Sus scrofa: one gene and its partners. The protein of the gene in region 3 purifies or fractionates together with the protein of the main gene of each other region. This does not show direct contact. Links are inferred from orthologs where the notes say so. Each region holds a gene or a part of one and is shown on either strand. Other genes may lie near its edges.

Region 1 (3,586 bases), on a different chromosome or scaffold from region 3:
TGACATACCCCTGCCGGGCCTGCGGACCCCAGGCCCCGGCGAGTCTGACCTGTCCAATAAAATACAGTACGAGGAGTGGACGGCTACACACATGCATCCACAGCTTAAACTACAGTGATTCCAAACTGTGGCCGAAAACAGTACTGCCAGGGAAGGAAAAGAAAAACAGGTGTTGTGTGTTCCCCAATTCATAATTTTTTTTCTTGTTTTAAACAGCTAATGCTGTTACAAACACTACTGATGCCAGGACAGGGCCAGACACAAACAGTCCTACATCTTCTCTGCCGTATAAATATGGAAGATTTTCGTTTATACAGTTTTATCTCAAGTCTGAAACTACATCTGCTGCTAGCCGTTACTGCTAAGGGCTAAGCCGGCTTGGCTCTGGTACGAGGGGCTTGGGGGCGAGACTCTGGAATGTCGGGACTCAGTCTTCCTCACTGCCACTTCCTGAGCGGTCCTGAAAGAGGGACAGGAAAGAGTAGGAGTCAGTCCTGCCCACAGGAGCAAGCCCCCCGACTGGGACCAATCCCGGCTTTAAACACACCCAGTCACCAACATAGGTGGTACAACTGCTTTCCCCAGTGAACGATACACACGAGCTCCATGAGGCTGTGGGTGCTGCCATGGCCAAATCCCAACATCATTTTTCTCCCAGGGGCTGCCCCAGTGCCCATACCCACTCCTCTTTGGGACCTGGGAAGCTTGCTGGGCCCTCCCAGCTCCGTACCATCGTGGTCTGTCTGTCCCTGTGCTCCTGACCTGTGGCTTTACAGCTACCTTGGCCATTCGTGACTACATAAGATCTTTGCTTTTCTGTCTGAACTTTTTTTTTTGGTCTTTTTGCTATTTCTTTGGGCCACTCCCACAGCATATGGAGATTCCCAGGCCAGGGGTCGAATCGGAGCTGTAGCCACCGGCCTACGCCAGAGCCACAGCAACGCAGGATCCGAGCCGCGTCTGCAACCTACACCACAGCTCACGGCAACGCCGGATTGTTAACCCACTGAGCAAGGGCAGGGACCGAACCTGCAACCTCATGGTTCCTAGTCGGATTCGTTAACCACTGCGCCACAACGGGAACTCCTCTGTCTGAACATTTTAAACAGCCTGGCGAGGGCCACAGAACACCCTGCTGGATCCTGACTGGGCAGATGAGGAGCTTTACAGCCAAGACACGCCTCTCCAGAAACAGGGCCACCCCTCTCCACGTTTACAATGTCATTAATGGCCCTATAAGACCATGTACATTGACAGTCAGATTTATCCTGGGGCACCTGGTTTTGCTGCTACTGCAGTTAGACAAGAAAAATAATGACAATGAAATGGTGCTTTGCTGGGAGCTAGGCCCTGGGTCGTCCCTGCTTCACAGCTGTGGAGACAGGCTCAGAAGTGAAGTGAATCGCCCAGGTCCCATGAACGGAAGGGCCAGGCACTGGGCTGCAGCTAGAAACAAAGCTTAGTTAAACCCAGTGAGTGAGTCTGCTCCTGCCGCTCACACCCATGAAACTGTCCATTGTGGGCTTGACGCTCCCGAAGCTCATCTTGGTGTGTGGGGACCACAGCCCAGGCCCAGGGGGTCCCCCACTGAGGAACCGCTCACAGCCCATGTTCAGTGTCTGCTCCGTTCTGTTTTTATGACTTTGGGTTACGGGTTTTTTGTTTTTTGTGTATGTTTTAACCCACTACCATTGTTTAGAAGTCCTTGTAGAGGCCAGGACAGAGCCACAAGCAGAGGCCTGGGCTGCATGGTTTGTGTCACATGCAGTGGTGACACTATGGCAGCCTTGGCTGTGGAGGGCCCTGTGCTGAGGGCGCTGGGGCCTGTCTGATGGCATCGCCATTCCCAGTGCCTCCCGTCCCCCCAACATGATAAAGACTGTCCCTGTCGGCCTTAGCATGGCAGCCCAGACATTCTGGGCAGCGGGAACCGGATGGATGACCTGCCTAAACCCCAGATGCCCACTGGCTCTAAGCGCACTGGTTTGAGGGTCACGTGGACCAGGGCTTGAGTCACATGGCATTTAGTATTGAGCCTCAGCTTCCTTACATGTGAGAAGCCGAGGCACCAGAGCATCTACCCTCACGGGACCACAGAATGGAGTCTGGCACCTGCATGGGCATGGATGTCCAGTAACCCGCCTGGCCTGGGTCCTGAGGGCCTTACCTCCTCCTGCTCCTCCTCACTGTCATCATCGCTCACCACCGGCTTGGCCCTGGACCCACGGCTCGGCCGCCGCCGGCCCCCCTTGAGCCGATCCTGGGCCTTCTCTTTCCGGCCAAGCTTGATCTTCACTTTGACCGAGCGAGCTGGGGTGGGACCAGAAGAAAGAAGATGTGAGCTCGGGAGAGGAGGGTCCCCCTGGAGCCGTGCAGATGGTGGAGGAATGGGGCCTCAGGTCCTCTCCCTCCAGTGCAGCTCCACCCACCCCCACCTGGGACTCACACTCCGACTCCGAGCCTTCCTCCTCGCCCTCCTCCTCCTCCTCGCTCTCCTCCCCTTCACTGTCATCCTCCTTCTCGATTTTCTGCCGCACACTGGTGAAGACCGACTGCAGGACAATGGAGTCTTCGTAGATCTGGGTGGAGATACACAGGGCTCATGTGCATGGCCCAATGCAAGGGAGCTGCCTGCCCACTTGGCCGTGGCAGAAAGACAGCTGGACAATCCTTTCCCAGCCCGAGCCCACCAGGATGAAAAGGTTCCAGGCAAAAGGTCAGGCATGTCATTCAGAAACAGCCATGGGTTCCTCCCTCCCTTGATGAATCGGTGAGCATCCTCTTAAAGGCTCTGAGAGGGTCTGCAGCAATGTGAGAAATGCATGCCTCTCGTTAAAGCCAGAGTTTTCCCCAATTTTATGACTAGCAAATCTCTTCCAGAAGGTACCCATCCCAACACTCAGGAGAACTCATAGTCTGGGCTCTGTGTGTGCACGTGGACTTAATCACAGGACAGGAGACAGTGCAGGCTTACTTTCAAGAGTCCCCTAGTGAATCCAAACAGATCCAAGATGTACATGGGCTGTTCTCAGGGTTCTCCTGCATGGACAGGACTGAGTCTGTTTCCACTATTTTTTGTTTTTATTTTTTGGCTGCACCCGCAGCATGTGGAAGTTCCTGGGCCAGGGACTGAACCCAGGCCACTGCAGTGACAACATTGGATCCTTAATCTGCTGCACTACCAGGGAACTCCTATTTCCTCTACCTTGCTTGTCTTTATCTCCTGCCTTTTTTTTTCAGTAATGAACACATATTGCTTCTGTAACGAGTGGGATACCCCAATTACAGGGCTGATTCACTGCGGGTGTGGCAGGGGTGCTGCTCACCAGAGACCCCTCCAGGTTGAAGGTCTGCGCATTCTGGCACAGCAGCATCACGTCCTTCTCCAGGTCGTTGAGACTGCGGTACTTGTGGTTGCGGATGCGCTCCTGTGGGCGGGAGAAGCAGTTTTACCTTGGGGCTCCGTCATGCCCAGGGACCCCCGGGGCTGGGGGCGGGGGTGTCTCTGCATAACAAGGTCATGGCCGAATCCCTGGGCTCTGTGCAGACTTGGGGGCCCAGGCCCACTACACACAAGGGCTGCCGG
Region 2 (4,229 bases), on a different chromosome or scaffold from region 3:
CCGCTGAGCCACAGTGGGAACTCTGACAGACTGTTTTCTTAATATTTTCTTTAAATTGACAAAGTCCTTTCTTTTCAGCTTGGGCTTAAGCCAGGCAGTTATGTCAGTCAAATTAAGTCAGAGTTGTTGTGCTAGTTTCCTTCTTTTCCTAAAACTATTTTAACCTTAAAAGTGACTCTTAAAAATGACCAGTTTGAAAACAACTCATTGTTGCTTTTTGGAAAACAGTTGCCCTCATGCATCACTTACTCTTGCTAACTGGGCGACTGGGTTGGAGTCCCGGAACCTGGGTACCAGTCTGACCCCACCTCTGCTGATGGCCTGATCGGGACTAGACTGTGCACCTCGCTTTGTCTCAACTTCCTCTTCCTTCACGGTGGATATTGTAGACAAATCGACCTTTTATGTTCTTTGCCTGCACTTAATCTCTATGATTTTATTTTCTGATATGCAAACAAAACCCAAAATATGACAGAAATATGTAAGAGGTCAGTTTACTTGTTTCAATCATGATATTAATGAAGCCAGAATCAAAATGTGAAGCTACAAATGGGTCATTTCTAATTTCTTTTTCCACAGTCATAGAGTACTCATGAGACCAGCTAGCCTCCATAACAATGCCTCGTTTTAGCTGTAAAGTGTCGTGGGAAGGGATCTGCCTGTGAGGTTAACAATTCAATCGCCATTTTTCTGGAACTCCCAGAATTCCTGCCATGGGGTTTATTATTAAAACTCATAAGAATCACTTACTTAAAAAAACAAAGAGTTCCTGTCATGGCGCATCGGAAACGAATCCGACTAGGAACCATGAGGTTGTGGGTTCGATCCCTGGCCTCGCTCAGTGGGTTCAGGATCCGGTGTTGCCGTGAGCTGTGGTGTAGGCCGGCAGCTATAGCGCCGATTAGACCCTTAGCCTGGGAACTTCCATATGCTACGGGTGTGGCCTTAAAAAGACAAAAGACGAAAAAAGAATCACTTATTTATATGTGACTTATTATTTATGTTATCGGGACTTTGATGTGTATATGAGAATTTAGGAGTGTGTTGATTTCTTTTCTTTTTCTCTTTAAAGGAAATAACCCAATGAACATTCCAGCAGGCGGAATAACAACAGATCAGCAGCCACCAAGCTTGATTTCAGAATCAGCTCTTCCAACTTCCCTTGGGGCCACCAAGTAAGACATTTGTTTCAGTTGCCTCCTATCTGAGCGACAGTCAGACATGCAAGTGTGTGAACTCTTGAGTCTTTCTAAATGTGGGGCAGGGGCTATAGTTGGGGCCAGGGAGGGGCCGTCTCCCGTCTCCCTCTGTTCCCTGCTTCCCCCACCCCCCGTCCCCCCGTCCTCCCGTCCTTTCCGTCTTGCCTGTAGAAGAGGTAGTGACGTTGAAAGCCACATGTGGTTGAAGGGCCTGGTCGGCTGAGAGCCCTTCTTCCCTCAGCCCCCTGATGAGCGACGGCGCCACCTCTGGGAACATCGGACCCCTCAGCACTCTACCCTCCGCAGCACCTCCTTCCAGCACTGGCGTTCGGAAAGGCTGGCACGAACACGTCACTCAGGACCTGCGCAGCCATCTAGTACACAAACTGTACGTGGCCACCTCCCGCGTCGTTCACGTGGGATGGAGACATTCTGAGGCCGAGGTGATGGGGCAGTTGAGCGGTTGCGTTGATGTCTGCTTCGGTTCCTTCGTGGTCTCCTGGGCCCCTGGTGATCGTACCCTGGCAGCCAAAGGGAACCACGTGCCTGTTGAGGGGCCGGAGGATCCCACAGACCCTGGGTGGTGTCAGAGCGTCTGCAGCTCTGCCCCGCAGAGGGCCAGACCTGTTTTCTATGCCCCGGCTGCACCAGGGAGCTGGAATTAGCTCAGAAGCATTGCTTTATTTTGTGGCTCAAGATCACAGTTGAGGAGACCCCAGAGAACTGGAGGAATTTGGGCTTCGTCAGTACAAATGGTTTGATAATGCTGTCATGCATGTAACATACAAGAAATTAACAGCTAACTTTCTCCAGCTAGTTAAGTTAAATTGAAGGGGAGATTAATCGACTGGCATTGGAGGGGTTTTTTTCCTTCATTAATTTCATCAAAAAATTTTGGGTTAGAAAAAGGGGGGGGACCACCATATGCCACAGGTGTGGCCCTTAAAGACAGAAAAAAAAATTGCTAATAAATCGTTTAAATATTAGGAATTCAAAATCTTTTTTGGTTTTTTGTCACTGCTCCCGGGGTATATGGAGGTTCCCAGGCTAGGGGTCTAATCAGAGCTGTAGCCACCGGCCTACACCAAAGCCACAGCAACACAGGATCTGGCCTATATCACAGCTCACGGCAACGCCAGATCCTTAACCCACTGAGCGAGGCCAGGGCTCAAACCTGCAACCTCAAGGTTCCTAGTTGGATTCACTTCCGCTGCGCCACAACGGGAACCCCGAAATCATGTTATTCTTGAGATGATGAAGTACTTACTGTTAATAGTAAGATACTGGTGTGTTTGACGTGTAGAGAAGTTAACAGGTCAGGATTCTCTCCAGAGTGACCTCACTGATGTCTTCATATACCGGGCAAGAGGAATTTGGGGATGTCGCTTGGCAGTGTACTGCCACAGAGGCGGTTGGTTGGTTCTCTTTCCATGCCGCTCAGAATGGTAGAAACTGACCCCATTGTCCTTTCAGCGTCCAAGCCATCTTCCCGACCCCTGACCCCGCAGCCCTGAAGGATCGCCGCATGGAGAACCTGGTGGCCTATGCGAAGAAGGTGGAAGGGGACATGTACGAGTCTGCCAACAGCAGGGTAGGTTGCCTTTGGGTCCCGGCACCTGTGGGAGCCGCGGCTGCACCTGTCCAGAAACAGGGACGTCTGTTCGTCTGGGAGACGCGTCACTTGAGGACACTGACCGGGGAGTCTTCTCAGTTAAGACATGAGGTCCCTCCCTGCACAGCTCTTGTCTTGTAACTACCGACTACTGATGTCTCCCCTGCAATAGATAAAACTGCTTTTTCTTTTTTCTTTTCTGTCCTTGGTTGGTTGGTTGGTTTGGCTCCACCCATGGCACAGGGAATTCCCAGGGCAGGGATCAGATCTGAGCCACAGTTGCGACCTAAGCCGCAGCCGTGGCAACACTGGATCCTTTGACCCACTGTGCCAGTTCTGGCGCTGCAGAGACGCCACCCTCCTGGTATGCCATGGCAGGAACTCTGATGAAGTCGTTTTTATCTGTGCATTTACTTGGTGGCGGCCTTGGTTACAGTGCTTGTCCTGTGTCATTGCCGGCGCGAATCCAAGAAGAGGTTCAGCTGTGGACTCACCTGTGATGAGTACCTCGTCCCTGCTGCCTCATACATGCTGTCCCATCCCTGGGTGCTCATGCTCACCTGCGCCAGTGTGCTCAATTGAAACGATCGTCAGTTGGTCAGAACACACGCACGCGCGCAGAGCTTCTTTGTAACGAGTAACTAGTGTGGAGGTTTGCTTTTCAGGATGAGTACTATCACTTATTAGCAGAGAAAATCTACAAGATACAAAAGGAACTAGAAGAAAAACGGAGGTCACGTTTACACAAACAAGGCATCTTGGGGAACCAGCCCGCCTTACCAGCCCCTGGGACGCAGCCCCCTGGCATACCACAGGCCCAGCCCGTGAGACCGCCAAGTAAGGACTGCCTTTCTGGCTCTCCGTCTGCCTCCCCGCTTCTCCTTCTGCATCTGGGATGATTTCTGAGCATGTGGAATCATGTTCCCAGGAAGCCTGTGCTTAGAAAATTGTGGGGGTGGCCGTGGCATGGCCGAGGCCATGGCCTGTGTTTAGAAGTTGAGTCCCCCTGGTGGATGGGCCTCGAAAGGGTGTGCCAGCGTCAGGCTGCTCGGTGCTCTTGCCCCTGTTGACTGGCTTTCTCTGTAAGTTTGCAAGATGATTTTCTGTAATGCTGTTTTTTCTGCCCTTGCAGATGGGCCCATGCCCCTGCCTGTGAACCGCATGCAGGTTTCTCAAGGTACCAAACTATTACTGTCACTCACATTCTGGTTTCACATTCACAGCCACAGAGTCGATGGGTGTGTCCTCTTCCCTCTGTGTTTCTCTGTCGCTCCTTCTCTTCCTCCCGCTCCTCCTTGCTGATGAGCAGCATCCACGTTCATGGGCAGTACGGCATATCTGATGCAGTTGGAAGTCTCGAGATCATAGGGGACTTTTCCAGGGAGATCGGGAGTTAACCCTTTGTTTGTTTGTGTTTT
Region 3 (4,229 bases):
GCAATGGAGATTTCCAAGAGGGACTTTTCTAGGGTTCTAATAGCACATATTAGTGGGGGTGGGGGGGAACCATAACGGAAATGACATCACACTTAGGTGCAAATCAGAAAGCTTCCTTCTAATTTCTAAAACATTTAAATCCACTCTAGGCTTTGTTAGAGTGAAACTCCATTGTACTTCCTGCTTTTGATACAGGTTTTTCCTGTAATGTAGGGTAACTACAAATAATTCAAATTATGTTTTTTGTTTTGGTACATTTCTTATTTTTGTGATTTTGTGTGTGGTTGTGTCTTTTCTAGGGCTGCACCCTGGGCATATGGAGGTTTCCAGGGCAGGGGTCTAATTGGAGCTGTAGCTGCTGGCCTACATCACAGCTCACAGCAACACCGGATCCTTAACCCACTGAGCGAGGTCAGGGATCGAACCTGAAACCTTATGGTTCCTAATTGGATTCGTTAACCACTGAGCCACAAAGGGAACTCCGTTTTGGGGATTTTTAAGGGGACAAAATTTTTTTTTTTTAAATAAGCAGATTTAAGTTTCTTTTTTTTTGTCTTTTGAGGGCCGAACCAGCGGTGTATAGAGGTTCCCAGGCTAGGGGTCTATTTGGAACTGTAGCTGCCGGCCTACGCCACAGCCACAGCAACACCAGATCTGAGCTGCATCTGCGACCTACACCACAGCTCATAGCAACACCGGATCCTTAACCCTCTGAGCAAGGCCAGGGATCGAATCTGCAACCTCATGGTTCCTAGTCGGATTCGTTTCCACTGCGCCATGATGAGAACTCCTTAATGGGATAAAATTTTAACAGATTTTTTTCAAAGGCATTTAAATAACTATGTGACTTTTAACTCTCAAAATCAGTGACCTGAAGGAAAAGAATGTCACGTGGAACTCTCCATTGATAATACTGAATAGCTGGTACCCTAATGAGATATTTGTCAAAACTCTACTCTGTAGAACATTAGATTTCCTGATGGAAGAATTTTCACCTGGAATAAGGATTTTTATCTATTTTGAGAGAAAACAAGAATTGGAAAACATGATTTTCACAAGGCCACTGTAAAAAATCATTACAGTAGGTATGTTTCTTTTTCTTTACAAGGTTGTTCTACAAGCTGCTTTGTTAAAACTATCTCAAAACAAACATATGGTAACAATCACCTGACTTCTATATCTCTAGGACCAAGCAGGCACCTAGGAAGGCTCAGAGTCTTAGAGTTGATGAAAAGAATCAAAGCTGGAACCAAAACACAATATATTATCTAATCAAATGTACTGTACCATCTCTGATTCCTCTGCAACACTGCCAAGTCTTAAAAAAAAAAAAAAAAAAAAAAAGAGAAGGAGTTCCTGTCGTGGCGCAGTGGTTAACGAATCCAACTAGGAACTATGAGGTTGCGGGTTCGATCCCTGCCCTTGCTCAGTGGGTTAACGATCCAGCGTTGCCGTGAGCTGTGGTGTAGGTTGCAGACGTGGCTCGGATCCCGCGTTGCTGTGGCTCTGGCGTAGGCCGGTGGCTGCAGCTCTGATTCGACCCCTAGCCTGGGAACCTCCATATGCCGCGGGAGCGGCCCAAGAAATAGCAAAAAAAGACAAAAAATAAAAAAAAAAGCCTATTTTTCCTTCCAAATCTATTAATTTTTCTTCTTCATACTATTAAGAGATTGGCTGGGTCAACCTACCTTCCTTCACTATCTTTACAGTAGGGGCAGGTACATGCTTCCCGTCGGGTCCTCCGACCAGCTTGAGGTTGGGGATCTGGGCTGTTCTCTCCTTCCTCTCCACCTGCTGGGTCATCATGTATTCCATCACCACCAGCCCCATGGAGGCCAAGTTGAGCTCCATGATCACCTGAAATTAACAGAGTAAAGGGTCAAGGTGGGAAGTAGGGGAGGTCATCACAGCTGCAGGTATCTCAGCGACACTTCACTTTTACAGCATTATTTCTTCAAAGCTTTGAAGTCACATCCACTGACATTGCTCATAATTGAAATTTAAAGAACTGGCACTGAAGAGACAAAGAGCCAATAAGTATACGGAAAACATGTTCATTCTCACTCAAGTTTTCTTTTTTTCATGGCTATACCTGTGGCATATGGAAGTTCCTGGGTCAGGGATCAAATATGAGCTACAGCTGTGACCTACGCCACAGGATCGTTTAACCCACTGTGCGAGGTTGGGGATTGAACCTGGGCTTCCACAGCAGCCTGAGCTGCTGCTGTTGGATTCTCAACCTACTGCAGCACACAGCAGAAACTCCCTCACTTCATTTTTAAAAATTATTGTTAATTAATTAATTAATTAATTAATTTCCCTTTTTTTAGGGCTGCATCTGCAGCATGTGGAAGTTCCCGGGGTACGGGTCAAATTGGAGCTGCAGCTGCCACCTATGCCACAACCACAGCCACACTAGATCCAAAACACACCTGCAATCTACACTGTAGCTTACAGTAATGCCAGATGCTTAACCTACTGAGCAAGGCCAGGGATCGAACCCATGTCTCACAGATACCAGTTGGGTTCGTTATTGCTGAGCCATGATGGGAACTCCAATTAGTACCTTTTTAAAGGCCTATTTGGCAATAACATCACAAATTTAAATGCATATTTTCAAAGTAATTTCACTTTGAATTAGCAATGTCTTATGGATAGATTCCTAGGTCACACAAAGATATGTGAAAATGATGACAGTTTTACAAGAAAAAACTGGAAAAAATAAAAAATGTACACCATTGAGGAACTAGTTAAGTAAATTATGATAAACTTATGCAATGGACTACTATACATACATTAAGAGAATGAGATAAAGTTATGCACTATTCTCTTATTCAGGGAGTTCCCTAGTGGCCTAGTGGTTAAAGATTAGGCATTGTTAATGCTATGGCTTGGGTTCAATCCCTGGCCAGGAAGTTCCACATGTCATGGGCAGGGCCAAAAAAAAAATAAGAAAAAGACTTTAAGGGGAAAATTTTGGAAATGAGCACAAAATTGTGCAGACTATTCAGCAGGAAATAGTACGTGTGTAATATAAATTTAGACACAGGAGAAAAAGGAAAGATCTGAGGTCAAAGTTAATTCTTTTTTTGTCTTTTTAGGGCCACACCCATGGCATATGGAGACTCTCAGTCTAGGGGTCATACTGGAGTTGTAGCCTCTGGCCTACACCACAGCCACAGTAACGCCAGATCCGAGCTGAGTCTGCAACCTACACCACAGCTCAGGGCAGTACCAGATCCTTAACCCACTGAGTGAGGCCAGGGATTGAACCTGTGTGCTCATGGATACCAGTCAGATTCGTTTCCAATGAGCCACAATGGGAACTCCCAAGGTTAATTTTTTTTTTTTTTTTTGCTTTTTAGGGCTGCACCCTCAGCATATGGAGGTTCCCAGGCTAGGGGTCGAATCAGAGCTGGAGCTGCCAGCCTACACCAGGCCACAGCAATGCAGGTTCCAAGGCGAGTCTGTGACCTACACCACAGCTCACAGCAACGCGGGATCATTATCCCACTGAGCGAGGCCAAGGATCAAACCCCCAACCTCATGGTACCTAGTCAGATTCGTTTCTGCTGAGCCACAAAGAGAACTCCAGGGCAGTGTTTTTCAAACTTCATAAACTTGTAACCCACAGTAAAATACATTTGACATTGTAATCTAGTACATACACATAAAACTGAAACAAAGGTTTCATTAAAAAAAATGCATACCCTTACACTAAGCAGCATATATTGAAATTTTCTAGACTCCAGTGACAACGTCACATCCTTAACTGCTAGGCCATCAGGGAACTCCTAGACTCTACATTTTTTTCCCTTAATGCTGGTCATGACCCAGTATACTGACTTTATGAATTACTAATGGGTCACACTTGATATTTTCAAATAGCATTCTAGATAAAAAGATAAAAGCCATGTTTTCAAGGAATAGATAACATTTTCCTCAAGCTTTCAAATCTATCAACAGTATTTACAGTATTTTCAACAGTATTTACAACAGCTTTCAAATCTATCAACAGTATTCTAGACAAAAAGATAAAAGCCATGTTTTCAAAGAATGACAACATTCTCCTCAAGCTTTCAAATCTATCAACAGTATTTGCAAGGTGCAATGACTCTACTCATATTTAAGATTCCAGCAGTTCCCTGGTGGCTCAGTGGAAATGAATCTGACTAGGAACCATGCATGAGGCTTTGGGTTCAATCCCTGGCCTCGCTCAGTGGGTTAAG
Region 4 (4,960 bases), on a different chromosome or scaffold from region 3:
CACATCCACAAATATCCACGTCATGAGGTGGCTGCCTACTGCATCTTCTTAAAAGACAGGACTGCATGGTTATACCCTCAGCCCTGTTCCTTCAATGACCTCACTGCACTGGCAGCTGGAGTCTTAGATGAAGCTGTGCAAAAACACGGCTCCATGTCCCCCAGGAATCACATGACACCCTTTGAGGAGGGAGACCACATACTAACCAGTCTCCCTGCCTCTACTCTTGACAGGCTCACAACCATTTCCTCACTGCAGTCAGATGCTGTATGTAAACTAACCCAACTCAGGAGTCTTCTTTACCTAACACCGAGGACTCCACTCTCACCCAACCACGCTGGGGTTCAGGGTGAACCCCTAAGTGCAGGATGTGGGGGCTCCTCACACCCACACAGCCTCTCGCTCCTGCCATATGCCACCTCCAACTCCCAGGACACCCTTCACCAGTTCTGGCCAACTGCCACCCTCAATACCACAGAGCCTCTCTGGAGGGATTCAGCTTCTCCTGAAAAGTCCTCCTTGACATCCACTCAACCCAGGCATCAATCTTTCTCCAGCAGGAAACTTTCCACACAGCATGGAGTAGGGAAGGCTCCCCCTCTTTGGACATAGGTCCCTAAGCATACATCTTTCAGAACAACCCCTGGATGTTATGAAATTATCTTTCTTCTTTTTTAAAGTTTATCTTCCTTTCTAGAAAGTAAGCAACTCAAGAGCAAAGACTTTTATGTTTCTAAATGTTTACTGAACTGAAACATCAGACACTATACAATGAAAAATCAACAAATATGGCCTGACTTATTCCTAGCCAATTCATTAGCAAATCCTGTCAGTTCAGCTTCCAACCAGATTCATCCACTTCCCGAGTTACCACCACCTCGCCAGCCCAGCCTAGCCTCTGGCATCTCCATTCTGGATTACTTTAACAGTCGCCTCATTCCTCTGCGTCCACACCACTATACCACACCAGTCTATAACACACATGCCCACACACTCCACTATCCACACCCTCTTGTCTCCAGCAGCCAGAGTGATCTAAGATATAAAGATAAAAATTTCTTCTAAAATTTACTTAAATTTAAAAATCCACTTTAAAAATCTTCATTTGCTTCCTATTGTACTGGGACTAAAATCCAAACCGCCTCCTGATGCCCCATCTAATCTGACTCCTCCCAAGCCTTGTGCTCATTTGGTGTTACTGCATCTCTACTTCGATCCATTAAGTCTCCAATACGACAAGCTATGTCCCACCCTGGCGTCTGTATGCTTGCCCCTTCCTCTGCCTAGAAGACTTCCTTCAGCTACCTGCTACTTCTCCAAGTTTAGCTTAAGTGTCACAATCCAATCCAAAGCAGCTTTTTAATCCTTCAGTCACTGTCTTTTGTCCTCATTACCATCTCAAATTACATTAATTTGTCCACTTGTTTACAGTGTGTATCTGTCCCTCAGGAGGGCAGGAACTCCGCATTTCATCCATGCTGTGTCCCATATGCCTAAAACCAGTGCCTTTCACACGGAAGGCATCCATAAGCATTTCTAAAACAAAAGAATAAACCAAGAAAAGTGACCCTTACTTAAGAAATACCTGAAACAAGGAGTTCCCATTGTGGCTCAGTGGAAACGAATCTGACTAGCATCCATGAGGATATAGTTTTGATCCCTGACCTCGCTCAGTGGGTTAAGGATCCAGCATTGCTGTGAGCTGTGGTGTAGGTTGCAGATGCGGCTCAGATCCGGCGTTGCTGTGGCTGTGACACAGGCCAGTGGCTACAGCTTCAATTCGATCCCTAGCCTGGGAACCTCTATATGCCATGGGTGTGGCCCTAAAAAGCAAAAAAATAAAAATAAAAGTTAAAAAAAAAAAAGAAATACATGAAACAAGGTAAAAGAAATGGAAAGTAATCGGTAATTTTGTTTTATTACCAAACAAAACAAGGCAGGAAACATTCTAGTTAGTATCTGCAAGAAAGAAAGGCTGGTGTCACTGGGAGCTATTATCACAAGCATCCAGAGTTATTTCCCAAAACTCATTAGAAACATGTCAAGTAGAATGGTTTCATGTGCCATATGCTAGCCTATGTGTATGGCACTGCAAACAATCATTTTAGAAAATGCTATAAACTCACACTCCCCATAACCCTGCAATGTGCACAACTACAGTAGTGTACACTACAACACTTAAAAACTACTCGTTATGCTATTTGAAAAACCAGAATTTCTGACAGTGGTAATGATCTGTAAATGATTAAATTTATACTAATAAAACTTCAACCTCTTAGGTAACAGGTCCTTCTCTTATACGAGGCAGGTCTTCAAGACAGGATCTGACTATGGCACCTAAGAAGCTGCCTCATATACTGTTCTTTCTTAGAAATAATGCTGCAACTCAAACAAAAGCCATAACTCGTCACAATGTTAGCAGCCTCTGTTAACTCCTTACTGAAGTTTTGACCAGAGGAGCAGGAAACTGTCAGTCACTACTGCACTAGTGATACAAAAATCTTTGAATCTTTATTCAAATGTCACTCAATCACAAAAATTAGGATAACATACAATGAAGCATTTAGGCAATGAAGGCAAATGAAGACAGTGAAGATAAACCTTAGTAAAATCTAAGTATTTTATTTTGCTTGATTAAACTTTCTCGCTGTTCAAGAAAAGGATTTATAAAATAAACAAGTCTTATCGTGTCCAACAAAATTAATATGACAGGTTAGAAATAGATTTCATATTTTAATAATCACTATTGACAGGTGAATTGCATGTAACAAAATTTCAGTAACTTTCCTGCAGATTCCTTTAAGCAATTTTCAACAGGATGGCCATCAAGTTTCTGACCTAACCACACTTACCTTGGTATGGTAACACATTTAGTATTACAATTTTGAGTGGTGATGGCTTTCTCAAGCTCATCTAATCGTCCTGTTTTCTTTAGCTTCTTCACCAAACTTTTAACTGCTTTCTCACACCACTTCTCTTCCTGTCCATTCTGCTCTCCTCCACCTGCTCCTCCAGATCCACCAGCTGACTTCTTCCATCCCAGCAGTCTCTTCACAACTGGCGGAGTGAATGGCAAGATGGACGACATGTTCTTACCAAAGGCAGCGGTCCACACTAAGAAAATATCCTCCTTAATCTAACCTAGAAAAGATATGGAAAGGACAGTTGAGAGGCTAACTTTACCATCAACTACTGCTTTCAACACAGGAGCAAAAGCAAATTACAAAATGAGATAAGAAATTCAAATTATTACTTTCAGAACAGACTTTCAGAAGTTATCTTTTTCACCCATGACAAGTCTTCACGAATTTAAATGAACTGTGGAAACAAATCCTTCTAAAAACAAGACAATGATAAGTGGGCCAAGAGAACAATTTTGCAAGACAGAAAATTTTTTTATCTTTATCAACACTGGACCATTAATCACTACCCATACTACTATATTTTTACCTTTTAATAGTAGCAATAAAATATTTTCACTAAAACAAAGTTTTCCTTATGTTTTTAGAATTTCAGTCTATTCTCAAGACACTTAACAAAAATACATTTTTTTAATTTACAGGGCCAATCTCCCCGAAGTTTTAAACTTTCATAACTATCATAAAGTAAAGTCTAAGGTCATAACAAGGGGAAAGGAGAAAGGCATCAAGTGTGAAGTAAACAACCAGAAGTAAAGGTAACGAGAGACTGTGAGGAAGAGATGTGGTTCACTTTGAGAAGACTTTTAATTAAGCTTCATTTTAAAAATATTTTTTTCTCTATCTAAGTAACAACCCACATAGTGGATAAAGTCAAATAAAGCTCTTCTCCCCACACCAAGGTACAACTCTTTAAAATCTTTGAACCTTTACTCTTGCTATTTATACCTAAGCAATGGTCCCCCTTGAAGTATCAAGTTAAATATACCTATTGAAAATGAAGATTTACACCACAATCACTTGCTTTTCCTCCAGCCCTGAAAATAATTATCTTCCAACTGTAGTTTTATACCTGAAGAGATTAGTAGTAAACTACTATATAATCCTGTTTCCTTTTTTGTACATCTCTTTCTTTTTCTCCAGAGCTAATTATGTCAGTTTTTCATCTGCCTAGTTTTCTAAGCACCTACCATAAATTCTTCCTACTCTCTCTACCAAGTCCCTCAATTAAAATTTAATGTCAACAGCTTTAATCTCAAAGTAAGAGATAAGAACATTTACCACTGAGGGCAGAACTAGAGAGTTTAGATTTGAGAAGAATGGAAAAGATTTAGAAATGCAGCTCTGAGAAATACTGTAGAAAATCAAACTGAGTGAGGTCAGATAAATTTTATCAGGTATTTGCCAGACTATATATCAGAAAGTATTCCATGAAGGAGTTCCACTTCTAAACAGGATGTAGCAAATCACAAGAGACCATCACTTTCACCCTAACAAACAAAACAAGACAGATAAACTATAAAATCATGGTTTTTCTGAACCCGTCTAAAAGTTAAAGATGCAAAGTAATAAGCTAAATGTAACTAAATTCCAGAAAGTGTTGAATTTTGATAGGAGAGGGGCCCACAGATGGTCTCTTTCCTAGTGGAGCAACCAAGAAGGAATGATCCCACCATGATGAGGGTAAGGAGAAATCAGCCTAAACTTTTAAGACATTTAATAGCAACATGTAGGCTGACATGATATATTAGAATTCAAAGGGTTCCCCAGAGCAAGGCTATGACCTCAACTACTCAACCCCACAGGCCCTCACCAAGTGCTGGCCAAAATATTCCAAAGGTTGATGGACAGGGCTGAAAAGATGGGAGATACCCTAAGAAGCTTGGGGTCTTCCTCAAACGCAAGGAATCTGTCCTCTGACCAGGGAAGGGAGTGAGGGGAGGTAAAAGAAATCAATCCAAGAGACTATAGACATGCAGCTGCCAAGGGCTGAGGTGGTGCAGAAGAGCTGAGACAAAACCTTAGAGCAGACACTCTGGAAA
Region 5 (4,756 bases), on a different chromosome or scaffold from region 3:
CAATCGTATATAACTTGTTTGATAACAATTTTGTGAGAGCTTAAAAATAAAACCCATCAAGGAGTTCCTGTCGTGGCGAAGTTGTTAACGAATCTGACTAGGAACCATGAGGTTGCGGGTTGGATCCCTGGCCTCGCTCAGTGGGTTAAGGATCTGGCGTTGCCGTGAGCTGTGGTGTAGGTCACAGACATGGCTCGGATCTGGCATTGCCGTGGCTGTGGCATAGGCCAGCAGCTGTGGCTCTGATTCGACCCCTAGCCTGGGAACCTCCATATGCCTTTTCTAGGTGTGGCCCTAGAAAAGACAAAAAATAAAATAAAACGCATCAGGCCAAAATATCCCTCAGAAACTGACACCCCCATCTCCTCTCTGTACACAGGATATACTGAGGACAGGGTCCTGCAATGAGGGTCCCCTGTCCCCCAGATCCGGCCTGGTCTCCTCCACCAGCCCTTCCCTGGTGTTTGATTCTGCCTCCTAGGCCACAGAATGGTGCTTGCTGAACAGGGGAGCAAAGCAGGACCTGAGAGGAGAGGCTCTGAGTAGGCTCCAGGGGAGAGTATGAGAACGTAGTCATTGTCACTCAAGAGTGAACAGGCTGAGAACAAGAGGTGACAGGCTGCAGTCAGACAAAACAAGGGTGAGTAGGATCAGCTGGTGGGTCAAGGGTCTGGCTCCCCTGAACAGACCCCTGAACAGGAGGGGTGGGGCACCCTCCAACCCTCTCCCACACCTGCCCCACCTAGGGCAGCCCCTGCCATCTGCCCATGCAAGGCACCATCTGCTGCCAGTCAAAGCTGGTGGTGGTGGCAGCAAAGCAAGTGGGGCAGTATCAGCCTAAGTGCTCTAGGGATGCAGACTATGCCTGGGGGAGCTCAAGGTCTAGTCCATATCTGGTCTTGAGGGATGAACGAAAGGAAGAGGCCCTAGCAGGCCCAGGCAGGGGGAGGGAAGGAGAGTGAGAGGCAGTGTGATCGAAGGAGGGAGCAGGGCTGGTCCTGGCAGGGTTACAACAGGGCAAGGGGGCTGGGTGTGGCAGAAGCTGCCTGGCAGGGCAGGCAGGCGGTAGCAGCTGGGCTGGGAGGCTCGCTTCCCCCATTGCCTTCCCAGACGGAAGCAAGTTAAGGAGGCCTCAGGGGTTTCACAACCCAGGAAATGGGCTCAGCAAGAAGAGGAGGAGGTGGGGGAGGGGAAGGGATAGCAAGACCCTTCTAAGGCCCTTTTCCCAGGGTCCCAGCCCCCATGTCCTGGGAGGAGAACCAACCATGGTCTCAGGTCATGGCCAAGTCCCAGAGGAGGGGATGTTTCCCACACCTGCTCCCCTCCTAGGACTAGCACTTATCTCCCAGCCAATACTCCTCCCTACTCCCCCACCCCACATAGACCAACCACTGCCTGGGCTCTCTTCCCCTTCTCCAAGGACCCTTTCTACCTGTCACCAGAACCTCCCCCCTCAGTCTTCTCACAGCTGGAATCTCCAGGGCTCCCACTGCCCTAGGAGGAGCCCATACTTCAGCTTAGCCCTGGCTTGCTCGCCACCTCAAATCTTACCCTTGGCTACTCTGTGAGCACACGCCTCACTTTCAACCCCCCTACTTTTGCACAGGCAGAATGTCCCCTTGAACTCTTACATATCTTTACAGATTGCTCTAAGGTCCAGCCCGTCCTCCATTTGCCCGGAAGCCAGCTGCCCCTCTATCTCACATGCCCCCAGCAGGTACCCTGTGCAGGTGTCCAGGATCACACTCACACAGAGGACCTGGGTGTGTCTGCCTGTAGCTCAGCCTTCTCAGCTCTGGCCACACATCTGACTGTCCTGGGGACATTCAAACATTCCACTGCTGCCGATCTGGCCCACTGGAATCTGATGAGAATCAGAGGTGAGGCCCAGGCAGCACAACTGAACCTTTTGTAATTGTCATACCCTCAGAACCAATGAAAAAACCTGGCCTTTCCCCCAGGAAAACCCATGCCTGTGGCGGCCCGCTTCTGCACATGATAGGGTGGGGGCTGTATGTCTTGAAGGCCTAGCCTGGCCCCAGGTCAACCCCAGGCCTCCTTTGGCCCTGCTAACAGGCACTCACAGTGACAAGACACCAGGCCCTTGGAACACACAAACTGACAGGGGACAGTAAAATAAATGTGTAATTACAGAGGGGGACATGACCACTGCTCAGGCAGCAAGAGGGGCTGGGATGGAATGACGGCCAGGGGGGGCCTGTCAGTGGGTGTCAGGGGAGCATGTCAGGAAGGGCTTCAATCTGAGAGATGCCCAGGGGTGCCATAGGCCCACCTGGCCAGAGGTTCTGGAAGGATCTGAGGGGTAGGTCATGAGACCCTGTCATTGGCTCATGCTTACCCCTGCCAGCATGTGAGGGGTACAGGACCTCCTTGGGGGCACAGTCCACACCAGGCACAGGCCTGAGTCACTCAGCCGGCTCTAGGATTAGGGAAGCCATGGGCTCAGGCAGGGGAGGGCTCCAGGTACCCCTGAGGGAGGAACAAAAGCCCCTTCATGCAAGACAGAGGACAAGGGGGCCTCTGTGAGGAGCTGGGGTGAGGGGTACGTCAGGGTCTTGCCCAGAATAACCACATGTTTGTGCACACACAGGCACACCCACCGACCCAAACCCACAGTGACATGTGGGGAGCCCTGCTTGCAAATGGATACACACACATGCACACACAAAACTCTGTAACCATAGGCACTACATACCCCTATGACATCTCAATAATACACACGCTAAGAAACACACCACCACTCACCAGCTCTGTTGACAGACAGCGAGGCCCACACAGATGACACAGGACATCTACACCTTCATGCACAGCCAGATGTGTTTACCCAGAGTGCCACGAGCACATAACGTACACATGGGCACGGACGCTCCAGGCAGGCAAAGAGAGAGACTCACAAGGCTGGAAGAACCCACATGTGCCTGATGAAGTTCTGGCACCAGAAAGCCCAAATGTAGCTTTTTCTCCTGCAGCCCCTGGGGCACAGTGGCTGGGGACAGCGGAGGGAAGGGCAGCTGGGCACCAGGCAGGCTGGGCCTCTCCACTGAAGGAGGCAGGGAAAGCCCCTCCTGGCCCAGGGCAAAGTCCAAAGCATGTAAGGGAAGGAGTGGGCTGGTCAGGCTCATCACCAGGTGCCACCCCTGCTTCTGAGGGGAAGTCAGCGGAGGCTGAGGATGAGGCCAGGGGTCACAGGTGCAGCCACAGGCCTGGGGCACAGGAGGAGGGGAGGGTGCAGGTGCAGCAGCCAGGCAGGCACCCCACACAAGACCTCCACAGAGCTCAAGTCTCAGTGGGCAGAACCCAACAAAGACAGAGGCTATAAATCACCCAAAGCCACAAAGCCAAAGGAGCAGCTCTGAAAGAGGTGGGGGAGGAGAGGGACTCCCGGTTCTAGCCTCAGAACTGTCCATTTGGCCTCCAGTGGGAGACACAGGCATGTGCTTGGGGAAGGGACTGGCTCCTCCACCATCCCCCACAGAGAGGGGTCTCCAGTCCATGCCTCAGCCCCCCACCTCTGCACCTCCTCCTAGAGTCCCCATGATTTTCCTGACTGTGGACAACAGCCTTTGCATTTGGGAGAAGATGAGACAGCCATTTAAGGCTTTTGTCATCCATCCCCACAAGGTAAGCAGGGCCAGCATGATGCTCCCATTGGAGGGATTAGGAGAAAGCTGGAGAGAGGCAGGACTGAAGTGTGCCATCCCATGGCAAGCACTGAACAGAGGAACTGGAGAGCAGGAGTTGGGTGTGGGCTGAACAGGTCTAGTTCAGGTCTGGTCTGCCCCGGGTGCCCTGAGAGCTTGGCCAAAGCACTCTGGCGTCATCTCTGAAAGGAGCGATCTTGCCCTGCTTAGGAGGAGGTGCTGAGTGCAGGACCTGGTACCATCATCCTTATCATTGCTGTCATCTTCACACCAGGCCCTCTCCCCATCTGCCCCACTGCCCATTTCCAGCTGTTCTATAGCCAGAGGGGCCCCCAAACCTCCTTGGATCAGTGCGTAAAACGGCTCTCTCTCTGAGGTGCCCTGGGGGCACTGGGGGTCGTTTTCACCCTCCCCCTTCCTCCCCACTCAGCAATGTTATCACTTCTGCCTCCTGCCTATCCTTAAGTCCTCTCTTCTCTGCTCTGGGAAGAGACTGGGCTGGGCAAAGGCAGCTGAGTCCACTAGCAGACCCCAGGTCAGCGACTGTTTCTCTCAGGGCCTCACGTTCCCTCTCTTGACAATGAGACCTTTCTCCAGGCCTGACACTGAAAGACCCTGCAATTCTCTTCCTATCTCCCCTGGCCCCATACCTCAGCCCCCAAGCCTACACCAAGTGGACACTGATTCCAGCCTCAGGCCTTGGCGACTGGCTATTCCACTGCACCTGTTTACTCAACATAGCCATAGACATGATCCAAAGCTTCCGAGTCTGTTGTGAAAACAACAGCTCAGCCACCACAAGCCTGTTCTCCTGGGCACCTTGGCAGGGACCTTCGAGGGAGAGCCATCCCAGCCTTGTACCCAGGGCCTTTCGGAGTTCCCCACCAAAGGCTGAACCCTCTTCTCCCCAGTCCAGGCTTTATGTGCTACCTCTCAACTCTCAGGTCTCCACTTTTAGCCCAGACCTCCCTAAATTCCAGGCTCATGGACCCACCTGCCTCCCCAGCCTCACCACGCTCTGGAGGTGCTCAAATATGACCAAACCAAAGCTACTGACATTTGCCAGGGAAGTGCCCCTTGTCTACTAGCAGCAC
Region 6 (3,770 bases), on a different chromosome or scaffold from region 3:
CCCAGCACCCAGGGGCACTGAGTCATCCTGAAAGCCTGACCTAGCACTCCTCTGCCCCTCCCCCACCCCAGGCCTGGTACCCCCATCTCCAAGCACAGGCCCTGGGGGGAGAATCAGAGGAGAAAAAGCAGCTGCAACACCCCCACCCAACCACCTAAAAAGCCAAAAATAAGAGCAACTCATACACACAACAACCTCCCCCCTGCATACCAGAAAAGCAAATATAAAATCATAAATCCAAAATAAAAGGAAAAAAATCAAAAATCAACTACTGCCCCCAAAAGGCTTTTTAACCATTCTCAAAAAAAAAAAAGTTTATTAAAAGTGTTCTTAATGCTCGAACGGAAAAGATTCCCAAATATACAGATGCCTCTTTTCTCATAGAAATAGATTATTTTTTATAATACAAAAAAAGACCAAAAAAACAACAACAAAAACAAAAACAACAGCAACAGAAACAACCCCGTAGGAACATCTTTAAGCGATTACTCAGGGCCCGGCTGACAGTTACACGTGGGTTGCGTCAGTCCCGTGTACACACGCGTTCAGCCATGTTTAAACCGATTGCATCAACTTCGAAACCGGCCCGCCCGCCGGCGCCTGGAGAGGGGGCAGGAGGAGAGGCAGAGTTTATCATTCATCTGTACACATAGACATTTCTTCTTTAAATAACACCACGGGCGGGCGCCTCATCTGCATGTGCGGTTGGTTTGGACAAAAATATAGATATATATAATAAAATATTAAAATTACCGACGAGCTCCCCGCGCTGCCAAGTGCCCCAGTGCCAAAGTTTTGCCGGCGCCACTGGGGGCGGGGGCGGGAGCGCGGGCGCTTCCCGGAGTCACTGTGGCCGCGGCGCGCCCGGCAGCGCGGAGGCCGGCGGGCCGGCAGGGGGACGCGCGCGGGGGCCGCGCTAGCAGTGGCCGGAGGAGGCGAGCAGGGGCTCGGGCAGCTGCTTGAACAAGTTCCGCAGGGTGCTGAGCTCGCGCGACAGCTGCTCCACCTTCTTCTGGAGCCGCTCGTTCTCGGCCGTGAGCTCCAGGACCTTATGCTGCGTCTCCAGGTTGCGCATCTTGGCCTTGTCGCGGCTCTTGCGCACCGCGATGTTGTTGCGCTCACGCCGGATCTTGTACTCGTCGCTGTGCTTATCCACGGTCTTCTTGGTCTTACTCTTGACCTGCGAGGGCGCCGGCGCCGCCCCCGCGTAGCAGGCGGCTGGGGGCGCCTTGGCGTCGGCGGGGCTCGGCGTGCCGGGCGGGCTGGACGACGAGGATGTGGACAGGCTCCCGCTGCTGCCGCTCGGCACCGCCTGGTAGCCGAGGTAGGCGCGCAGCGCATACGGGAAGCCAGCCGCCATGCCTGCGGCGCCGCCGCCCGGCGCTCCGGCCTCCTCCTTCCGCTTGCAGTCCGCGGGCTCGAAGCCCGGCTCCGCCTTGAGCTCGGCCGGCTGCGGCGGCGGCGGCGGGGGCGGCGGGTGTAGGGGCGCGAAGCAGCCCGGGTGCAGCGCGTTCTTGGCGGCCCCCAGACGCCCCAGGCTCACGTAGCCGTATTCGGCCGCCTTCTTGCAGTTCTTGCCCCCGTAGTCGTCGGAGAAGAGATCGGAGAGGAAGTCGTGGTGCTGCCCGGAGGAGGCGGGCGCGGGGGCGGGCGCGGGCGGAGCCGCCTCGAAGGTGTCGGTGGCCGTGGCCGGCGCCGGGGCCTGCGGCGCGCCCAGCGGCTCCAGGTATGGGCTGAAGTCGATGGCGCGCTCGTGGTCACCGATGCTACCCAGCTCGCCGGCGGGGGGGCGCGGCCCGGGTCTGGCCGCGGGGGGCGCCGCGGGGGCCGCCTTGCCGCCGTACGCAGCAGCCAAGCAGTCCGCCTCGTAGTAGAAGTTGGCCACTTCCATGGATTTAAAGGCAGGCGGCGGCGGCAGGGGGAGACATGCTGGGTCCCAGGCCACCAGGCGTTGCATGAACGCGGGTGCCCGGGGAGGGGGCCTGGGGCTGCCCGCTCCGGCCGGCCCGCAGGTGGCGCGGCCTCCTGGCTCCGAACTGTCGCTGCTGTGTCGCTGCTGCTGCTGTTGCTTTTTCCGCTGGATTGGCCGCTATTAGTGCGGGGGCTGGTAGCTGGACCCTCGGGTGGGTCCCCTTCCCGGTCCCGTGCGCGGCTCTGACTCGCTAAAGTTTCTCCAGAGCCCGGTTATTTATAAGGCGGGCCATGGCAACGGCTGCGTCACGCCTGGCGGCCGCCCCAACCCCTCCCCGGGCACGCAGAGGACACGCTGTGGCCGCCCGAGACCCCCGGCAGGGCGGCGGTGGGGCACCGTGACCTGACTGAAGATCTGGAGCGCGCCCTTGGGGGGTCCTCCGGCTTCGGGGGCCGCCACACGCCCCCTGCCCACCCCCACCCTTCGGACTCAGGATTGGAAGCGAGAAGAGGCGCGAACCCGCCCCCGGACCGCCCCCTCTGGGCTGGAGGCTGTACTAGAAGGGAGGGGGGAATCCGGGGAGGGGGCGACGCCATCGCCTTCCCCCACCCTAAACGCGGCCGCGGCCCGCCCCCTGCTGGAGGAGGCCGTGGCTTCAAGATCAGCGGCTCTCAGCCCCAACTCCTTAAGGAGGGGACGCGCCCCAGGCGGGATCCTGGAGACCCCAAACCCCTGCTCTGGCTATTGGAGAGGTAGCCCATCTCCAAAGCCCTTCCAGGGCCCGGCCCCGCCCCTAAACTTGCCCTCGTCCCCAACTTTTGGAAGGAGAGGATTTCACGCCTATAGGGACTTCTCTCCTAAATGCGAAGACTTGTGGTTGGGGGCTTTGGGAGTGCAAGTCTGGAGCAAGCTCCACTGGAGCATCTGCCAGGGGCCCGACCTTGCCCCTCTCCTAGCCCTGCCCAGCACAGCCGCCCGCCCCCTCAGACCACACCCGGGTATTCTCCAGCCCCACCCCACTCCCACTTGGGCACCCAAAGTGTAGAAGGGGGTGTAGGTGCTAAGCTCTGACATTACTGTGTCACCTTGCGCAGGTCACTTAGCTAACCTTCAATCCTTGAAGGTCTCAAAACTTATTATTAGTTGTATTATTGTCTCCACCACAGACTCCCAAACATAAGGCTTTCTGCTCTAAGATGCACAGCAGAGAGAAGGGCCTCTCCCAGGGTGTAAAGAGGCCCAGAGGGGGCATAGCACACCCCAGGTCAGATGGCCTCATGTCCCCCACTATTCTCAAAGAAAAGCCCTGGTCCCTACACTCTCAGACCTATTTGCCACCAGAAGGCCAAAACACCTGTTTCTGAGGCTTGTGCGAAAGGAGTTCTGCCAGGCCCCAGTGGGGGCTATGCAGAGAGAAGGGACTCCCCTGTTTTTCCCAGGCACCTACTGTGTGATGTGGGCGGACCTGGCCCCAGAGTTTGCATTTTCACCCTGTGGAGACAATGCACTTACTCCCCTGGTTCAGAGATGGGGAAACAAGGTGACCCACCTGGATCTATCTGAAGGTAGGCCTGAGGCCCTCTCTGCTGAGTGGGCTCCAGCACCATTCCTAGGCCATTTGGGCAGCTCCTTGGGCCAACCCCTCTGCCACTCCTGGTCCAGACCGCCCAGGCAGGAGCTCCCAGCCTGCCTGGTCTGACCCCCAGCCCACTGACCCCAGCCCTGGCCCTGGCGGGCAGGCGGGCATTGCTCAACCTTCAGCGTTATCTGCTGAGCTGGAGTGACCTCCGCCCCAGAGAGCTGGAGAAATGACATCTCTGAGTGCCCTTGGGGGGTGGGGGGCAGGGAGGGACAGGAT
Region 7 (2,953 bases), on a different chromosome or scaffold from region 3:
CAATTTTAAAAACCCTAAATAAAATATATAGCAAATGAATGCAAGGGTATAAGAAAATCTATTAATATAATTCACTACACTAGCTTAAGATAAAACTATATGGTCAACATTTTAGGTAGAAAAACTTGAAAGCATTTGATGAAATGCAACAACATTCCTAACTAAAATTAAAACCTTTAAAACTCTGGGAGAATCTGGAGAAAAACATATCCACCATACTCTAGTAAATACCATACTTGTGGTAAACCATTAGAAGCATTTCCTTCAAGCTTAGGAATAAAATAAGAATGCTTCCCAGTACTGCTACTATTTACCGTATTAGCATTATTAGCCAATGCAGTATGGCAAAAAAAAGAAATGAGAACTATAAACACTAGAAAAAAAGAAATAAATAAAACTTATGAACAAAACAAATAATAAAAATATGATTATTTGCAGATATAATTGTCTATCCAAAAAATAATTTTTTTAACCCATGATACAAACTGTTTGATTTGAGAAGAGTTTAGGAAATTGGAATAGATTCAGTATAATAAAACCTAACTTTTTTCTAAACATCAGCAGGGATACATTAGAAAATGTAATGAAAAAGAAGTATAGAATACTAGAAAGGAAACAAGTAAAAATAAAGAATACTGGAAAGTATTTAAGAAGAAATCTAAAAAGACCTCCATGAAGAAAAAACATTAAAAATTTAAAAGTAATCTAAGCTCACCATTTAAAAGTTCAAATAAGGAAAGTATAAAGAAGAAAGTGAAATCTACCTGCATCCTCACCTGTCGAAAGAGAAGCCTCTGTTAAAACTTGGTCTATCCTTCCAAAAGTATAACAGAATTTGAAAACTATGTCTCATCTCTTTGAAAAATGCATATGCTATGTTAAGCAAAAAGAAGACAAAGTTTATTTTAAAAGTGTGTTGATCCTGCTGTTTAGCACTGGGAACTCTATCTAGTCACTTACGATGGAGCATGATAATGTGAGAAAAAAGAATGTATATGTGTATGTGTGACTAGGTCACCTTGCTGTACAGTAGAAAATTGACACAACACTGTAAACCAGCTAGAATTGAAAAAATTAAAATCATTATAAAAAAAATGAAAGTGTGTTGAAAGTTGTGGTAAGAAAATAAGATTATAAAACATAGACTCATCAGGAAGGAGCAGAAGTTAAAAATGAGATTTCTGAGTGAGTAGAAATAATGCCAGCAGAAGAATCTGCAATCTGGGAAGTGATTGCCATGCCACCACGTTCTGTCATCTGGTCACACAGATTTAGTCCTACGGGAAAAGAATGGTCTTGGAAAAAGCTCTGATAGTCTTGGGTTTTATTCCTTTTTTCTTATATGCAGTTCTTGCCAACTCTCTGCTTACCTCCCCTGCCCCCATCCTATTTTAGAACCAAAACAAAACCAACAAAAAGTCATTGGCCAGAGAATTTTATACCTAAACCTCCTGTTCTGTCTTCCATTTCTGCTCCCCCAGACCGCCCAGGTTTGCTGAATGTGAAGCCCATCGAGGACATTCAAGACAATTTGCTGCAAGCCTTGGAGCTGCAGCTCAAGTTGAACCACCCAGAGTCCTCCCAGCTCTTTGCTAAGCTGCTCCAGAAAATGACAGACCTCAGACAGATTGTGACAGAGCACGTGCAGCTGCTGCAAGTAATAAAGAAGACAGAGACGGACATGAGCCTTCACCCACTCCTACAGGAAATATACAAGGACTTGTACTAGCAAAGAAGTCCACGTTCACCGACAACATTCTCCTTCTTCCAATTGCACTATTATTTTGGGGGAAAAAAAATCTGACACCTAAAAAAAATTACTGTGAAAAAGCGTTTGAAAAAGAAAAGGTTTTAGAATAATAGATCTATTTTATGCATATTGTTTATAAAGATACATTTACAATTTACTTTTAATATTAAAAATTACCACATCATGAACTTGCTGGATGTCTTTGAAGACTGAGTCTGTTGTGTCTCCCATCACCACTCCCCAGGTATTTTTTTCCTTTTATCTCCTCCCTCTTCCTTCCTTTATTTTTCCTTTTTTCTTTCTTACAGTGTGAAACAATGTGAATGGGATTGCTGATCAATTTCCATTTTCAGTCAAGTTTTTTACTCCATTTACAATGTTTCTGAACCTTGTAACTGTTTTAAAAATCACAACTAAGCGAGGAATTTCAGGACTGAAAACTACTCAGAGCATGTGTTTCTTAACCTGGATGGACTAATGTTGACCATGTCCCTAGGCTTACCAAGAATTCAGTCTTCTTCCCCAGCCCCAATCAAGATTTTCACTCACCAACAGCAGCCCTCTAACAGGACACCAAGGCACAGACAGATACCCACTGGAGGGTATTAACTGCTAGATGCTGTAACACAAGTGGTATAAGATGTGGCACCTGCCAAAAAGAACTTATTATTGAATTGAGGGGGGAAAAAAAGATTAATTTTTCTCACAAACAGATTAATATGTACAGTATAATCCTGTGCCAAATGTATGGTTCAGACTCCAAGTGCTCTGAGTTCAAAGTAAAGATTAAGAAGATTGGAAAAGTCTTGAGTGATCATAAATTCATTCAAGTGGGCCTCAAAGGATGCGTTTTACTTGAGATAGGTAGAGAGTTGGAGAGAAGACATTCTAGGAAAGCAAAACCACAGAAACAATAGCAAAAGGAAACAAAAGCAAAGCAAAACATGAGTGAGGGAGAAGGGCCATGTTCTGGTCTCAAGCAGTTTTGCTGTACATCTTCCTGCCTTCCTTCTTGGGACCACTTTGCCCAGGAAGCTCTGACTTTTCCAATCTCAAAGCCTAATTATCCGTTTAGGGGAGGCCAGCCTCCCCAGCAACTAGATGACATGGTCCCTCAAAGCAGGAATCTTCTTGGCACAATTAATAGATTTGTTGCTTGATGCCACAAAGTTCATTAGCATTGCTTATCCATGAACACACATG

Evidence for each region.
Region 1: the proteins of SP1 (region 3) and SMARCA4 purify together in Homo sapiens (affinity purification with western blotting; 3 studies listed by BioGRID and IntAct, with this or other methods). This does not show direct contact. The link is inferred for Sus scrofa from reciprocal best matches to the Homo sapiens genes SP1 and SMARCA4.
Region 2: the proteins of SP1 (region 3) and CREBBP purify together in Homo sapiens (affinity purification with western blotting; 5 studies listed by BioGRID, with this or other methods). This does not show direct contact. The link is inferred for Sus scrofa from reciprocal best matches to the Homo sapiens genes SP1 and CREBBP.
Region 4: the proteins of SP1 (region 3) and SMAD2 purify together in Homo sapiens (affinity purification with western blotting; 3 studies listed by BioGRID). This does not show direct contact. The link is inferred for Sus scrofa from reciprocal best matches to the Homo sapiens genes SP1 and SMAD2.
Region 5: the proteins of SP1 (region 3) and PRKCD purify together in Homo sapiens (affinity purification with western blotting; 3 studies listed by BioGRID, with this or other methods). This does not show direct contact. The link is inferred for Sus scrofa from reciprocal best matches to the Homo sapiens genes SP1 and PRKCD.
Region 6: the proteins of SP1 (region 3) and CEBPB purify together in Homo sapiens (affinity purification with western blotting; 4 studies listed by BioGRID, with this or other methods). This does not show direct contact. The link is inferred for Sus scrofa from reciprocal best matches to the Homo sapiens genes SP1 and CEBPB.
Region 7: the proteins of SP1 (region 3) and PPARG purify together in Homo sapiens (affinity purification with western blotting; 3 studies listed by BioGRID). This does not show direct contact. The link is inferred for Sus scrofa from reciprocal best matches to the Homo sapiens genes SP1 and PPARG.

What each region holds. Positions count from the first base shown.
Region 1 is NC_010444.4:69,806,672-69,810,257, reverse strand, and holds the end of SMARCA4 (transcription activator BRG1), read right to left. Parts: intron 3,429-3,586; coding exon 3,327-3,428; intron 2,580-3,326; coding exon 2,193-2,579; coding exon of another isoform or gene 2,168-2,192; 3' UTR 839-2,167; downstream 1-838. UniProt on the Homo sapiens protein: ATPase involved in transcriptional activation and repression of select genes by chromatin remodeling (alteration of DNA-nucleosome topology).
Region 2 is NC_010445.4:38,482,108-38,486,336, forward strand, and holds part of CREBBP (CREB-binding protein), read left to right. Parts: intron 1-1,072; coding exon 1,073-1,175; intron 1,176-1,440; coding exon 1,441-1,587; intron 1,588-2,672; coding exon 2,673-2,790; intron 2,791-3,476; coding exon 3,477-3,648; intron 3,649-3,943; coding exon 3,944-3,988; intron 3,989-4,229. UniProt on the Homo sapiens protein: Acetylates histones, giving a specific tag for transcriptional activation. Mediates acetylation of histone H3 at 'Lys-18' and 'Lys-27' (H3K18ac and H3K27ac, respectively).
Region 3 is NC_010447.5:18,622,898-18,627,126, reverse strand, and holds part of SP1 (transcription factor Sp1), read right to left. Parts: intron 1,858-4,229; coding exon 1,689-1,857; intron 1-1,688. UniProt on the Homo sapiens protein: Transcription factor that can activate or repress transcription in response to physiological and pathological stimuli.
Region 4 is NC_010443.5:97,481,135-97,486,094, forward strand, and holds the start of SMAD2 (mothers against decapentaplegic homolog 2), read right to left. Parts: upstream 3,090-4,960; 5' UTR 3,089-3,089; coding exon 2,853-3,088; intron 1-2,852. UniProt on the Homo sapiens protein: Receptor-regulated SMAD (R-SMAD) that is an intracellular signal transducer and transcriptional modulator activated by TGF-beta (transforming growth factor) and activin type 1 receptor kinases.
Region 5 is NC_010455.5:35,298,519-35,303,274, reverse strand, and holds the start of PRKCD (protein kinase C delta type), read right to left. Parts: upstream 3,097-4,756; 5' UTR 2,814-3,096; coding exon 2,767-2,813; intron 1-2,766.
Region 6 is NC_010459.5:51,720,820-51,724,589, reverse strand, and holds CEBPB (CCAAT/enhancer-binding protein beta), read right to left. Parts: upstream 1,958-3,770; coding exon 917-1,957; downstream 1-916. UniProt on the Homo sapiens protein: Important transcription factor regulating the expression of genes involved in immune and inflammatory responses. Also plays a significant role in adipogenesis, as well as in the gluconeogenic pathway, liver regeneration, and hematopoiesis.
Region 7 is NC_010455.5:68,432,010-68,434,962, forward strand, and holds the end of PPARG (peroxisome proliferator-activated receptor gamma), read left to right. Parts: intron 1-1,481; coding exon 1,482-1,729; 3' UTR 1,730-1,938; downstream 1,939-2,953. UniProt on the Homo sapiens protein: Nuclear receptor that binds peroxisome proliferators such as hypolipidemic drugs and fatty acids.